2 linked regions of the Callithrix jacchus genome follow. The protein of the gene in region 1 interacts with the protein of each later gene in a pairwise test. Links are inferred from orthologs where the notes say so. Each region holds a gene or a part of one and is shown in the gene's direction. Other genes may lie near its edges.

Region 1 (5,872 bases):
GTTGAATCTTTAGTGTTTTCTACATGTATGATCAGTTCAACTGTGAACAGAGATAATTTTACTTCTTTCTTTCTGATTTGGATGCGTTTTACTTCTGTTTCTTGCCTATTTGCTCTCGCAAGAACTTCCAGTACTATGCTGAATAGAAGTGATGAGAGTAGGCATCCATGCCTTGTACCTGATCCTAGAGGAAAAGCTTTCAGTTTTTTAATACTGAATATTGTGTTAGCTGTGGACTTTACATATATGGCCTTTATTATGTTGAGATAATTTCATTTTATTAGTAGTTGAGTGTCTTCATCATTGAAACAATATTGAATTTTATCAAAAATTTTGTCTGCATCTATTGAGATGATCATATAATTTTTATCTTTTTTTCTATTAATATGTGATATTGATCAATTTTTGTATATTGATTCATCCTTGCATCCCAGGGATAAATCCCCCTTGGTCATGGTGTATAATCTTCTTAATGTGCTATTTAATTTGGTTTGGTAATATTTTGTTGAGGATTTTTACATCTGTTTATTGGTCTGTATTTTTCTTACAGTGTTTTTGTCTGGGTTGGTTTCAGGGTAATCCTGGCCTCATAGAATAGCTAGCATGTAGTTGGATCTTGTTTATCCATTCAGGTACTCTGTCTTTTGGAGAGTTTATTAATATTTAATGTAACTATTGCTAGCAAAGGACTTACTATTACCATTTGTTCATTGTTTTCTGTCTCTCTTTTAGCTCTTGTGTCTCTCTGTCAGCTGTCTTCCTTTATGGTTCATTGGGTTTTTTGGTAGTGACATACTTTCACATATTTCTCATTTTCCTCTGTATATGCCCTATAGGTATAGGGCATGGTAAAGCAATCTGTTTGAAGCTGATAACATCTTAAGTTCAGTCACATATAAGAGCTCATTTTACTTCTCTTGATTTGTTTGTTTGTTTTTTTGAGACAGGGTCTCACTCTGTTGCCCAGGCTTGAGTGTGGTGGTGTGATGTGATCATAATTCACTACAGCCTCAAACTCCTGAGCTCTGGTAATCCTCCTGCCTCAGCCTCCCAAATAGCTGAGACTAGTAAAGTTGGCCAGTTGCTTACAAGTAGCGCATGCCACCCTGTCTCTTTTGTAGCGACAGGGTCTCACTGTGTTGTCCAAACTGATCTCACACTCCTGAACTCAAGCGATCCTTCCACCTCAGCCTCCCAAAGCACTGGGATTACAGGGGTGAGCCACTGTACCTACCCTCCCATGCCTAATAGGAGGAATAATTTATCTTATTTTTCTGGGGATATTAGTTATGGTTTGTTGAAGTTTTTTCCTCCCATTTCTTTTTTTTTCTGTATGTTTGTTGTGTTCTCTCTTTCACATTAGAGGATTTCCTAAGTTGCCTGATAATCCATGCCCAACTTTATAGGTAGGGACCAAAAAGCAGATTGGAATCTCTAAGCACACAAGTGGCTCTTGTTGACTTTGAGCTTCACTTTAAAGTGGTCTGGCTGGGCCATTTGTTGGAGAAACTCCTCATCCCAAGTCAGTATTTTCATATCTTTCCTCCTAGGACTTACCAGTTTTCCCAGAGAAGACTGTTCCAAACTCTTTGTTAGGAGGATACTACCAGCATTCTAGGAGCCAAATGGCAAGGTCTAGGAGGACCTCAACATTTAGTATGCATTCTTTCTCTTAGTCTCCTTGTTTTCAGAAACAGTATTCAGATCTTCAACTATGTATGGCATTCCTTGTCGTCTGGTGATAAGCCTCAAGTATTCTACCAGGATTGGCAAGTTTTCTTTTACCCCATAGTATATTGTGAGGGAGGGTATTTAAAGATCAAATTGGCTTTTAGACAGCCTTCAACCCAGCTGCCTTATTTTAACCCCATCTTTTCACATTTATTTCTGAAGGTAAGTGAAATAGTCAGTTTGGGAACTATTTCAGGATTCTGAAGTGGTGACAGGTGGGTTCTTGTTTTTCTCCACTACCAGCTTAAAATTCAGCTTTCTCCAGTGTGCTGAGTTGGTTCCTGCTCATCCAGTTTTTCATCTTCCAGACTATTACTGCTGTTATCTCCTTTTCTTGTTCCTCCTGACCTCCTTGGCTTGTGTTTTTTGTTTTTTTAAGTTCCCATAGTAACCGGGCGTGGTGGCTCACGCCTGTAATCCCAGCATTTTGGGAGGCTAAGGTGGGTGGATCACAAGGTCAGGAGCTCAAGACCAACCTGGCCAAGATGTTGAAACTCCATCTCTAATAAAGAATACAAAAATTAGCTGGGCATAGTGGTGGGCGCCTATAATCCCAGTTACTGGGGAGGTTGAGGCAGAGAATTGCTTGAACCTGGGAGGCAGAGATTGCAGTGAGCCAAGATCATATCACTGCACTCCAGCCTGGCTGGCAGAGTGAGACTCTCTCTGAAAAAACAAACAACAACAACAAAAAGGTTCCCATAGTTTTAGAGAGTTTTCTGGATGGAATGAAATTAAATGAATGTGTTCAGTCTGCCATTTTTATGTGAAACTAATTCTAATCATAATGAAAGAGTTGCCTATGGCTGGGCGTGGTAGCCCACACCTATAATCCCAGCACTTTGGGTGGCCAAAGTGGTTGGATCACCTGAGGTTGGGAGTTCGAGACCAGCCTGGCCAACATGGTAAAACTCCATCTCTACTAAAAATACAAAAATTAGCCATGTATGGTGGTGCATGACTGTAATCCCAGCTACTTGGGAGGCTGAGGCATGAGAATCACTTGAACCCGGGAGGCGGAGGTTGCAATGAGCCGAGATTACACCACTGCACTCCAGCCTGGGTGACAGAGTAAAACTGTCTCAAAAAAGAAAAAGAAAAGAGTTGCCTTATCTCCTTTATATGATATTTTGGTTGATCCTCAATTTGTTTTAGGTGTTATACCTGAAGAACCTTAGCCCTCGAGTGACTGAAAGAGATCTTGTGTCATTGTTCGCTCGGTTCCAGGAGAAAAAAGGACCTGCAATTCAATTCCGAATGATGACTGGACGAATGAGGGGCCAGGCTTTCATCACCTTTCCCAGTAAGTAATTTAATCCAGATGATTACCCAGTTGCCCCTCAGTTCACTAGAGTCTACCTATAACCTCTCTAATTTAGATATAGTCCTTTGATTTCTTCACAGCATGTGAGAACAAGAGAAAGAACGGAAAATATGTTTTCAGTGTTTCCTCTCCTCCATTGACAATGCATGACCACGTTACCCCAGTGTCCTCAAATTTCCCAGTCTTGACACTTCCTTCTTATCCTACCAAAATCTATACTCCCTTCACTGATGATAGGATTTCTATTCCAAGTTAAAATTAGATTACTCATTAATTAATGTATTAGTATTCTGATCCGAACACATGTACTTGCCTTATGCCCTGTTCCTTTAGGACTCAGTGAGTGCAAGCTAATGTACTAATTTATTACTAATTCATAATTAGTAGATGATGATAGTCTTCTAAATATTATTTGCATATTAATGCATGGCTTCTAATCCAAAGGGAAGAATAATATAAGAATTTTAGTTTCTGTGACAGACCAGATAATATGTTGTTTTGTGGGGAGGCTTTGTAGAATCTGTACCTTTCATTGTCCCTAAAGTATCATCATTTCTAAATAGCCTATTAATCTATGTGTAGGCAAGTGATTTTACACATGAGTACTGCTAAGCCCCCCTCCATTGTTTTCATACCGTCTTGTACCATCTTTCCTATTGTACTAAAGATTTTTTAAATCCTCTATATCAGTAGTTTTCAGTTTTTTTCAAGGGTAAGAACCCCTTTTGAATTTATAAAACAGTTTATGGGCACTCCACATGATATGATGTATTAATTGAAAAAATACTTAATAAAAAGGCTTTATAAAGCAAGGACTTTAAAATGTGTAGCTATTTTACTACTCTTAAAAGGTATACACTTTAAAAGATTTCTAGTACATATATATATGAAACAAAATTGTTTTAGTCTATTTGTCTACTTATGATACCACAAACTCCTGGCCATAAATCACCCCTTCCTTATTTCTTACATCCAGGCTTTTAGACCCATAAGTTGAATACTCCCGGCATATAGTATATATTCTCACATTTCAACCCATATACCTGCAAGGATTCTTAAACTTATTCATCCCAATAAGGTGGCCCAGAACCACTCTCCCACTGAAAAACATAAAGTGGCAAGGTGCCCTTAATAACATGATAACTTATTTTGTTTGTGTTACTCATTTCGAAAATGATTTGGTTCTCACAGTACCTATAATCAGTTATGTAAGATAGAGGCTTGTGTATAATTACTAATAGCTTAGACTTCTTTAGCACACTGCCTATATCCTTGTTTCTCTACTTATTTCTTTGAATTAGGAGACACCCTCAAACACCCATTTTGAGTTTTTATTATTATTTTTAGACATTAGTTTAATTTTGTTGAATAATGCAAATGGGAGATTATAGAAAAAATGATAAAATCAAATGATTATATGGTCTTACAGCTTACATTTAACTCCAAGGCAAAATAACCAAAACTAGACCTGGAATAGAATTAAATTATTAAGTCCTATGTAAATTGATATTTTTTCTTTCTCTTTTAGATAAGGAGGTAGCATGGCAAGCATTGCATCTAGTAAATGGATATAAACTACGTGGGAGAATACTGGTGATAGAGTTTGGAAAGAACAAAAAGCAACAGTCAAATCTCCAAGCTACTTCTCTCATATCATGTGCTACAGGTAGCACTACAGAAATAAGTGGTAGCTAGAATATATATAGATTGTGGGTCTTGGATGGTCTTTCTTGTGATGGAATCTTGGATCTAGGATTTATGTATAGACATTAGTTTGTTTGGAGTTGAAGAGGAAAAACTAACTGAGGGAGGGGAAAAAATTAATTCAGGAAACCCCTTTCAACTTTTGGAGAGAACTAGTAGAAAACATTTTCTATTATATAATTGAAAACTATATGGGACAGATGATATATGCTGAGTATGAAGGGTAGAGTGCTAAGAGTATTATTTTCTCAGGATAAATTACAAGGGATTATTCCTAAGGATTTTTTAAAATCTTTATAATTTTTCTGGGGTCCTCAATATTTGTCCCTAGGGATAACATTCTTTCTTAGACTGCTTCCTATATACAGAAATAAAAAACTAATTAAATGTTGAAATATTTCTTTACTAGAGCCCATTTGTCCATATTTCATCCACCTAGTAAATAAAAGAGCAGGACCCCAGGCCTAAGCATCAACAAATGCTATTAAGTCAGAACTCTCATCAGTAATAGTAGGTAGTTTCATAAGTCAGTTGACATATTTAATGAATGCTTCCTCCACAAGTTATCAGTCTTCAAAAAGCTATATATTTTTCTAGTTAAATCTTTTAGATCAAAATGTTGGTGTTCTCATAGCCATTTAAGCTAACAACCATTGAGTAATCATTGAATTCAAAGCAATAAACATTGATTAAGTGTCTAATATATGTTAATATTAGGCATATGAATTTTAGAAGAGGAACATACTAGCAAAGAATACCAAAGGGAAGTGGGAAAAAAGAGTCCTCTAGATAGAGGATGCCAGTCACAAATCCCCCAGTTGTTTTTTATGGTTTCTGGAAAATAAAAAGATAATATATAGAGAGGAAGTAGTATAAACTGGAGTCAGACCTGTACAGCCACTCATAACATTCAGTGACCTTGGCAAGTCACTTAATTTGAGCCTCGCTTTCTTCATCTATAAAGTGAGGATAATAATGCTACTTACCTCATTGGGTTGTGAAGATGAACTGAGATATTATCCAGGCTGAAGAACAGAAAGAAAAAATATGAATAAAATTGAGCAAGAGTATAGAACCTGTGTGACACCATTAATTAAGCATTCCTACATATTT
Region 2 (6,322 bases), on another chromosome or scaffold:
TCCATGAGCGCCCTAACCCAGATGCTGGGTGGAGAAATCCCTCTCTCACCCTCACCTTCAGAATCCACTGCTCAGCTACCTGGGCTCCCGCGGGGTGCGCGCTGCCTCACTGCTGGTACACGTCTCCCCCTCTCGACCGCCAAGTGCTTGCTCCCTCCAGGCGAGCACTCACACAATGGACTCACTTGTTTCCCTTGAACCTCTCCTTTGACTTCCAGCCTCAGCCAACAACTTGAGCAAGAGTCATACAGGAGTCTCTGCTATGGAGCACAGACCCTCGGAGCTTTCCAGACCAGCTCAGAAGCACCCGCGCACACTCAGACAAAACAAACAATGCCTGGTCCACGAATGAATAAATTAAAGACACCCACGCCCCCACCCACCGCTCCGAAACCCGCAGAAAGAAACCCGGGGGTTCCTAAATAAGAGGTGTTGTTGTGTCTTTCAAACTGCAAGCATTCCTCCTTGAAGACGGGGAACGAGAGCAGTGCGTTCAGATGGCAGTAAAGATTGACGGTGGCTTTGCCCGTGACAACGCCCCCAGCATCGCGCGGAGCCAGGTTCCCTGAGAACCGGGAGGGGAAACACAGATCCAGGGAGGAGGGAACAGCAGAGGCAAAGACAGCTTGGGAGGGAATGGGAATGGAAAATCAGGGGGGAAAAATGAATGAGTGAATTTGGGCTCGAATAGTAAAACTTCCACGGAGAAAAGGATGGTATCTATCCCCAGGTAACTACCTTGAGATGAAAAATACATGAAATACACAAGGAAGTGGCAAGCAACAACTCTGAGGTGAGCAGCAAGTTGTGCACCTCCTCTCAAGGCGCTGGATCAGCACCCCTGAGACGTCCCCACCGCACACACTCCCATTCCGAGGCGGCGGCGGCAGCAACAGAGGCAGCGGCGGCAGAGGCGGCGGCAGCTGCGCGCCTCCGGCCCAACCCCGCTCCGCTCCCCCTCTCGCCGGCGCCCTGCCTGTCTTGCGTGTGCGTGTGCGTGTGCTCAGCCTCAGCGTGAGGGGCACCTGCTCGTCTGGGCTCACAGCGAAGGCAGCCTCGCCGCGAGCTGCCGCTGCCACTGCTGCCGCCACTGGTGCTGCCGCTCGCAGGCGCCGGACTCCGCCGCCACCGCCGCTGCCGCCGCCGCCGCCGCCGCCGCCTCCTCGACAGCCAGTGTTGGGCTCCGTGGGCTTCCCCCCTCGCAGCCTCGGTCCTTCCCCGCTGCCTGCAAGTCAGCCTGGCTCCGAGTCACGTGTCAGTGCCTGAGGCAGAGACTGCGAGAAAAAAACGCTCTTCATTCCTTCTTCCACCGCCATACTGTATTTTATACTAAATCTCATTTTTATTCCAACATTTTACTCCCGCTCGGTGAGTACCTTCTCAGTGGCATTCTTGTCCTATTCTTTTTTTTTGTCCTTTTTTTTTGTTTTTTGTTTTTTTCTTTTTTTCCACTTCTTTGATTATTGTTTATATTTGGGAAAGCTGGAGGAGCATGGTTTTGAGCCTTTTCCTGAATCCAAGTTTTTCTAGCATGCGATCGTTCTGTAGACAAGGCGCTGTGTCTGGGAGTCCGCGGCGACCGTGCCCGCTGGGAGCGTCTCCCAAGTCCAGCAAAATGTGCAACTGGTTTTATGGAAAAAGCGATGTGAAGTATGGTGCCTATTTTTTTCCTCTGTAAAAATAAAAAGCATGTTTCTAACTCTTTTTTTGCATACTCTTTTTCTGATAACATTTTTTGTATAGGTGGGATTTTACGGCAGTGTTTACAAGTTTGTGGTCTTGCAATACTGGTGCAAACCACTGAGCAAAGACATTAATTTTATATTTTTGTGCCCTTTTTGGAAGCCGGTGAAAACAAATTCGTTTTTTTCTTCCTGTTTTTGATACCCATTGATAACATGAAACTTTTCTTACAGCTGGTGACTGGGATCATTTTTAAGCAAAATACTTTTTTCTTCCTCTAAATTAACTATGACTTTTGCACATTTGACTTTTTTAAAAAACCGAGATAATTTTATGATAGATATCCTGATATCTATATCTATATTATCCCTTATTTCTCCCTCTCCCCTCCCCGTAAATCAATTTTCCAAATGATGGCAGTGGAAGGTTTTTATGGAAAAAAAAAAAAAAATGAAGTGCGGTTTGGTTTCCTTGTCAACGGAGGATGAAGTGAACAGCTGAGCAGCTCGCAGAGAGCAGGTACTTGGTCCCCTTGGAGGCGTTTCCCGGGTGTGCAATGGCAACACTGGTCCTAGCAAAGAAATGCGTGAGTGTGTGTGAGAGAGAGAGTATGTGTGTGTGTGTGTGTTTGCGCGCGCGCATCTCCGGGCAGTGTCGGAGCCTGAGGTGGGGAGAGCCGCGCCGGGAGCCAGGGAAAACCAAAGTCTGTTCCTTGCCTCAGGGTCGTTTTCTAGATGTGCCCAAAATACGGACCCCCGCACACCCTACTGTGAGCTGCGCCCAGGTCGTCTCCCGACGGGTGGCGTCTGCGCTGCGGGCGGCGCCGGCCGGCGGGCCATGTAAGTTCTCCGAGGGCCACTTGCACAGCAGGAGGGACGAGGGCCCTGTACGTGGTGCGGGCCGTCTGCTAAAGGGGACCCTCAGAGCACCCGGGAGAGCGGGGGAGAAGCGGCAGAGACCGCTTCTTACGGAGGGGCTGGCTCCAGGCCACGCGGGCCGGAGCTCGAGACATTTCCAGAGCCTTGAGGATGGCACCAGCCCCAGCACGCTCAACTCCTGCTCCTCCTCCTCGCAATGAGTAAACGACGCAGTAGGTCTTTCCCAGCCTATTTTGCTTTTCCAAAGGGCTTTGCTTTCTTAGTGGTGCTGTTTTTGGATCTTTCCTTTCCCTGTTGCTTTGCGTTGGTTTTAAGTGCCTGCTGGTGTCGTCTTCCAGGGGATGGGGAAATAGTTTTCTTATATGATGGTGACTTGGGTTTAATATTGAGTACTAAGCTGTTAGTTTGCATTAATGACCCTACACCTTCAAGGGATAAAAACGCCTTTTGTTTAAATTTTAAAGGGGCAGAGTTTTCCCTCTTTTTAACCGCCTTATACCGACTTTAAAGGTTTTCCCCTGAGAACTGTGTACAGGTGACAAAGGTGATGATTTCGTGTGTTGGTAGCACTGAAGTCCTCAGTGTTGAATGTAGTCTATGATATTTTATGATTATTCTGTTACATATTTTCAGAATAATTTAGCATTACTTTTCAGATATGTACCAGCGAGCAATAAAAAGGTTTTTCTGTATTTAACACTGTGACAGAATCTGCTGGAAATTTTTTTGTCCAAATAAATTTCATAAAGGCATACATCTGAAAATCTGGAGAGTCACCATTATTTAAATAATTTGATTTTGAAGCTTTTATTTTCTTACCTTTTCTCCCCTTAAATGAAAAGTTTAGCTTTAAATTATTATGTGCATATATTTTGAATGCTGTAAAATAAACATAAGGCAGATAAAACAATTTTTTACCTCTCAGATGAAGTTTTCTTCTAGGTAACTACAAAAATACAAACTAACTCCAACATACAGAGAGGCCTAGGACAAAGTACACAGGCTTTTTCAAGCAATATTTCACTGTGTTTAACCTCAGTTTGTGGAATGAAAAGTTTTATGCCTTATTTTTTACTCTTTGTAGTAGAAAAGTAAGCAGTGCAAAGGGCCATTTTTCTGTAGAAGATTAAAAGTTACTATTATATCTGGAAAACTCTGTATTTTTTATTCATAATGAATGCAAGTATCTCAAAAGCCTTTGGACACTTCATTGTGAGTTATTTTGTTCTAGAGTAGCTTTTCCCTATGAAGGAAATCCTGTTGCATTTACATAAAGAAGATAGTTTATGTCGCTATTTGTGGACACTATATTTGATATCTTGATGTGTGTTCTTCTAAGATTTGAAGTCAATATGATGGCACTCAGCCTGAAATTAGTATTTTCTTATTTTGTATAGTGAGCTAATTACTAAAATATAGTTTTTCATATGGTTCAAACTGCTAACATAAAACATTAAAAAGCTATTTGCAACATTCTGAGATTTTAAAAATCATTTTAATTATAACAAGGTATGTACATATAAATGCTCATTTATTAAAAATGCAAGATAATTTATGTGTATATTTGGTATATTTTATGTATTGTAAGTCATTTCGTTCTTTTAAGAGAGAGAGAAAGAGACAGAGCAAGCAAGCAAGAAATAACTTGAGTTATTGAACCTGCATTTTCATTAAGAGAATCAATTGCTGCCCTAATGTTGAGGTAGTTTCTGCCTTAAGATTGAGCAAAGCACTGGCTGTACTATATATTTCTCAATGAGATTGAAATCATTTGATATCAAATGGTTTCAAATGGGAACAAAAATAATTTTAATGTGAGGATAGAGAGGTAGTTGTGCTTTGATTTCTGTAACTTAATATCATTCTAAGAACCTTTAGTTATCTGTGCTTTCATTTAAGATTCATTTTTAATTATACTGTATACTTGTATTACATTTCTGTCTATTACATTCAAGTCCTTCAGATTTCTTCCTGTATGAATAATACTGGAAATTCTACAACTCTTAAACAGGCCACCTGTTTAGTTTTCGGTTAAAAATTGTTGAAGGTAGTATCCTACATTTAGCACCGCCTACTGGCTTCTCATGGGAAAAAAATATATATATATTTTTTTTCTTCGTCAAGCAACCCATAGGGATTTAGATCAATTTAATTGTGCAGATTTTTTCTACTGCTTACTGAGAGAGTGGGGTGGGGGTGGGGATATGGGGGAAAAAGTGTCTATTTTGCAAGGAGAGAAGGTTCCCAAGCTAAAGGTAGGGACTGAGAGAAAGAAGATCCACAAATTAAATTGGCATTGGATCACTAGCTGACCTCAAACATTTTACTATCTAAATTGTGACAAATAATCACTAACTGAAAACAACCGGTTACATTTTCTAGAACTTTCTATGGGATGCTAAAATATGGGCATTTTTACAGTCTTGGATTACTAAATTAATTTTGCAGCATCTGTCTCAGTCTTGACATAAAAAAAGTCCTATTTGGAATTCTGTCTTGAGTATGTGGTCTATCCAAGAACATTTAAATGAATAAGTTTTCATCATTTAAGATTAACAATTATTTTTTTACATTCATTTTTTTCATGGTCATAAACAGTCAAGTAGCACCCTGATTTTTTTCGTAACTTGCATCAAATAGCCATACTGTGGTGGTATATATACAAAGGGGAAAATTTCCAAACATACCATTATAAAGACACGTATATTCTTAGCCATAACAGATGTGTTAAAATTTTAACAAATGATAGTTGGTTTATTTTCTCTAATTTGTGTGAAAGTCAAATGGTTAAAAGAGCTACTATAATAATACAAACAATGTCTTCAGAATATAAAAATAGTTAATTAGAAAAATAATTAGTGGGCCAGGCATGGTGGCTCACGCCTGTAATCTCAGCACTTTGGGAGGCCGAGGTCAAGAGATCAAGACCATCCTGGTCAACATGGTGAAACCCCATCTCTACTAAAAATACAAAAAATTAGCTGGGCATGGTGGCGTGTGCCTGTAATCCCGGCTACTCAGGAGGCTGAGGCAGGAGAATTGCCTGAACCCAGGAGGCGGAGGTTGCGGTAAGCCGAGATCGCGCCATTGCACTCCAGCCTGGGTAACAAGAGTGAAACTCCGTCTCAAAAAAAAAAAAAAAGAAGAAGAAGAAAGAAAAGAAAGAAAGAAAGAAAGAAAGAAAGAAAGAAAGAAAGAAAGAAAGAAAGGGAAAGAAAGAGGAAAGAAAGAAGAAAGAAAGAAAAGAAAAATAATTAGCTATGCTAAAAATTTTCTTCCTAGTTAAAAAAATGTGAAATATTTGGATAGCTTTTTCTTAAATACAATATATACTTCTTTTAAGACCCAGTAATAAGTATTTAGAAACTCCAGTGAGAAGTATATGTCTGCTGCATTCTTGCAACTGTACCCCAGTAAGAGTGTGGTCATGTTTTGTTTGCTATTTACTGATAGTGTGAGCCACTAAGTAAGCAGTGCATTCATCGATCTAACTCTATGTTTCAAGTCTTGAAAAAGCTCCATAATGGAAGTAGAAGAGAAATGAAGTGGATATGTAAGATTGTTGGAATAATAAGAATGAATTTGAGGAAAATATTGTAATTACATTTTATTTTTCTGACTTTTGAAACTTTATATTTTATTTATTTTTGCAGATATTATCTTCAATTCTCAAAACAATACTGCAACATACATATTTATTATCCCCATTTTACGGGCACCAAAACGAGGCTTAGAGAAATTAAATAACATGCCAAAGGTCA

The links.
Region 2: the proteins of RBM41 (region 1) and RALYL interact in binary tests that used the Homo sapiens proteins (3 or more experiments, as listed by UniProt). The two-hybrid records come from large-scale screens. The link is inferred for Callithrix jacchus from reciprocal best matches to the Homo sapiens genes RBM41 and RALYL.

Annotation. Positions count from the first base shown.
Region 1 is NC_133524.1:103,629,331-103,635,202, reverse strand, and holds part of RBM41 (RNA-binding protein 41), read left to right. Parts: intron 1-2,886; coding exon 2,887-3,034; intron 3,035-4,583; coding exon 4,584-4,750; 3' UTR 4,751-5,872. UniProt on the Homo sapiens protein: May bind RNA.
Region 2 is NC_133517.1:42,626,222-42,632,543, reverse strand, and holds the start of RALYL (RNA-binding Raly-like protein), read left to right. Parts: upstream 1-2,319; 5' UTR 2,320-2,757; coding exon 2,758-2,773; intron 2,774-4,770; exon of another isoform or gene 4,771-6,322.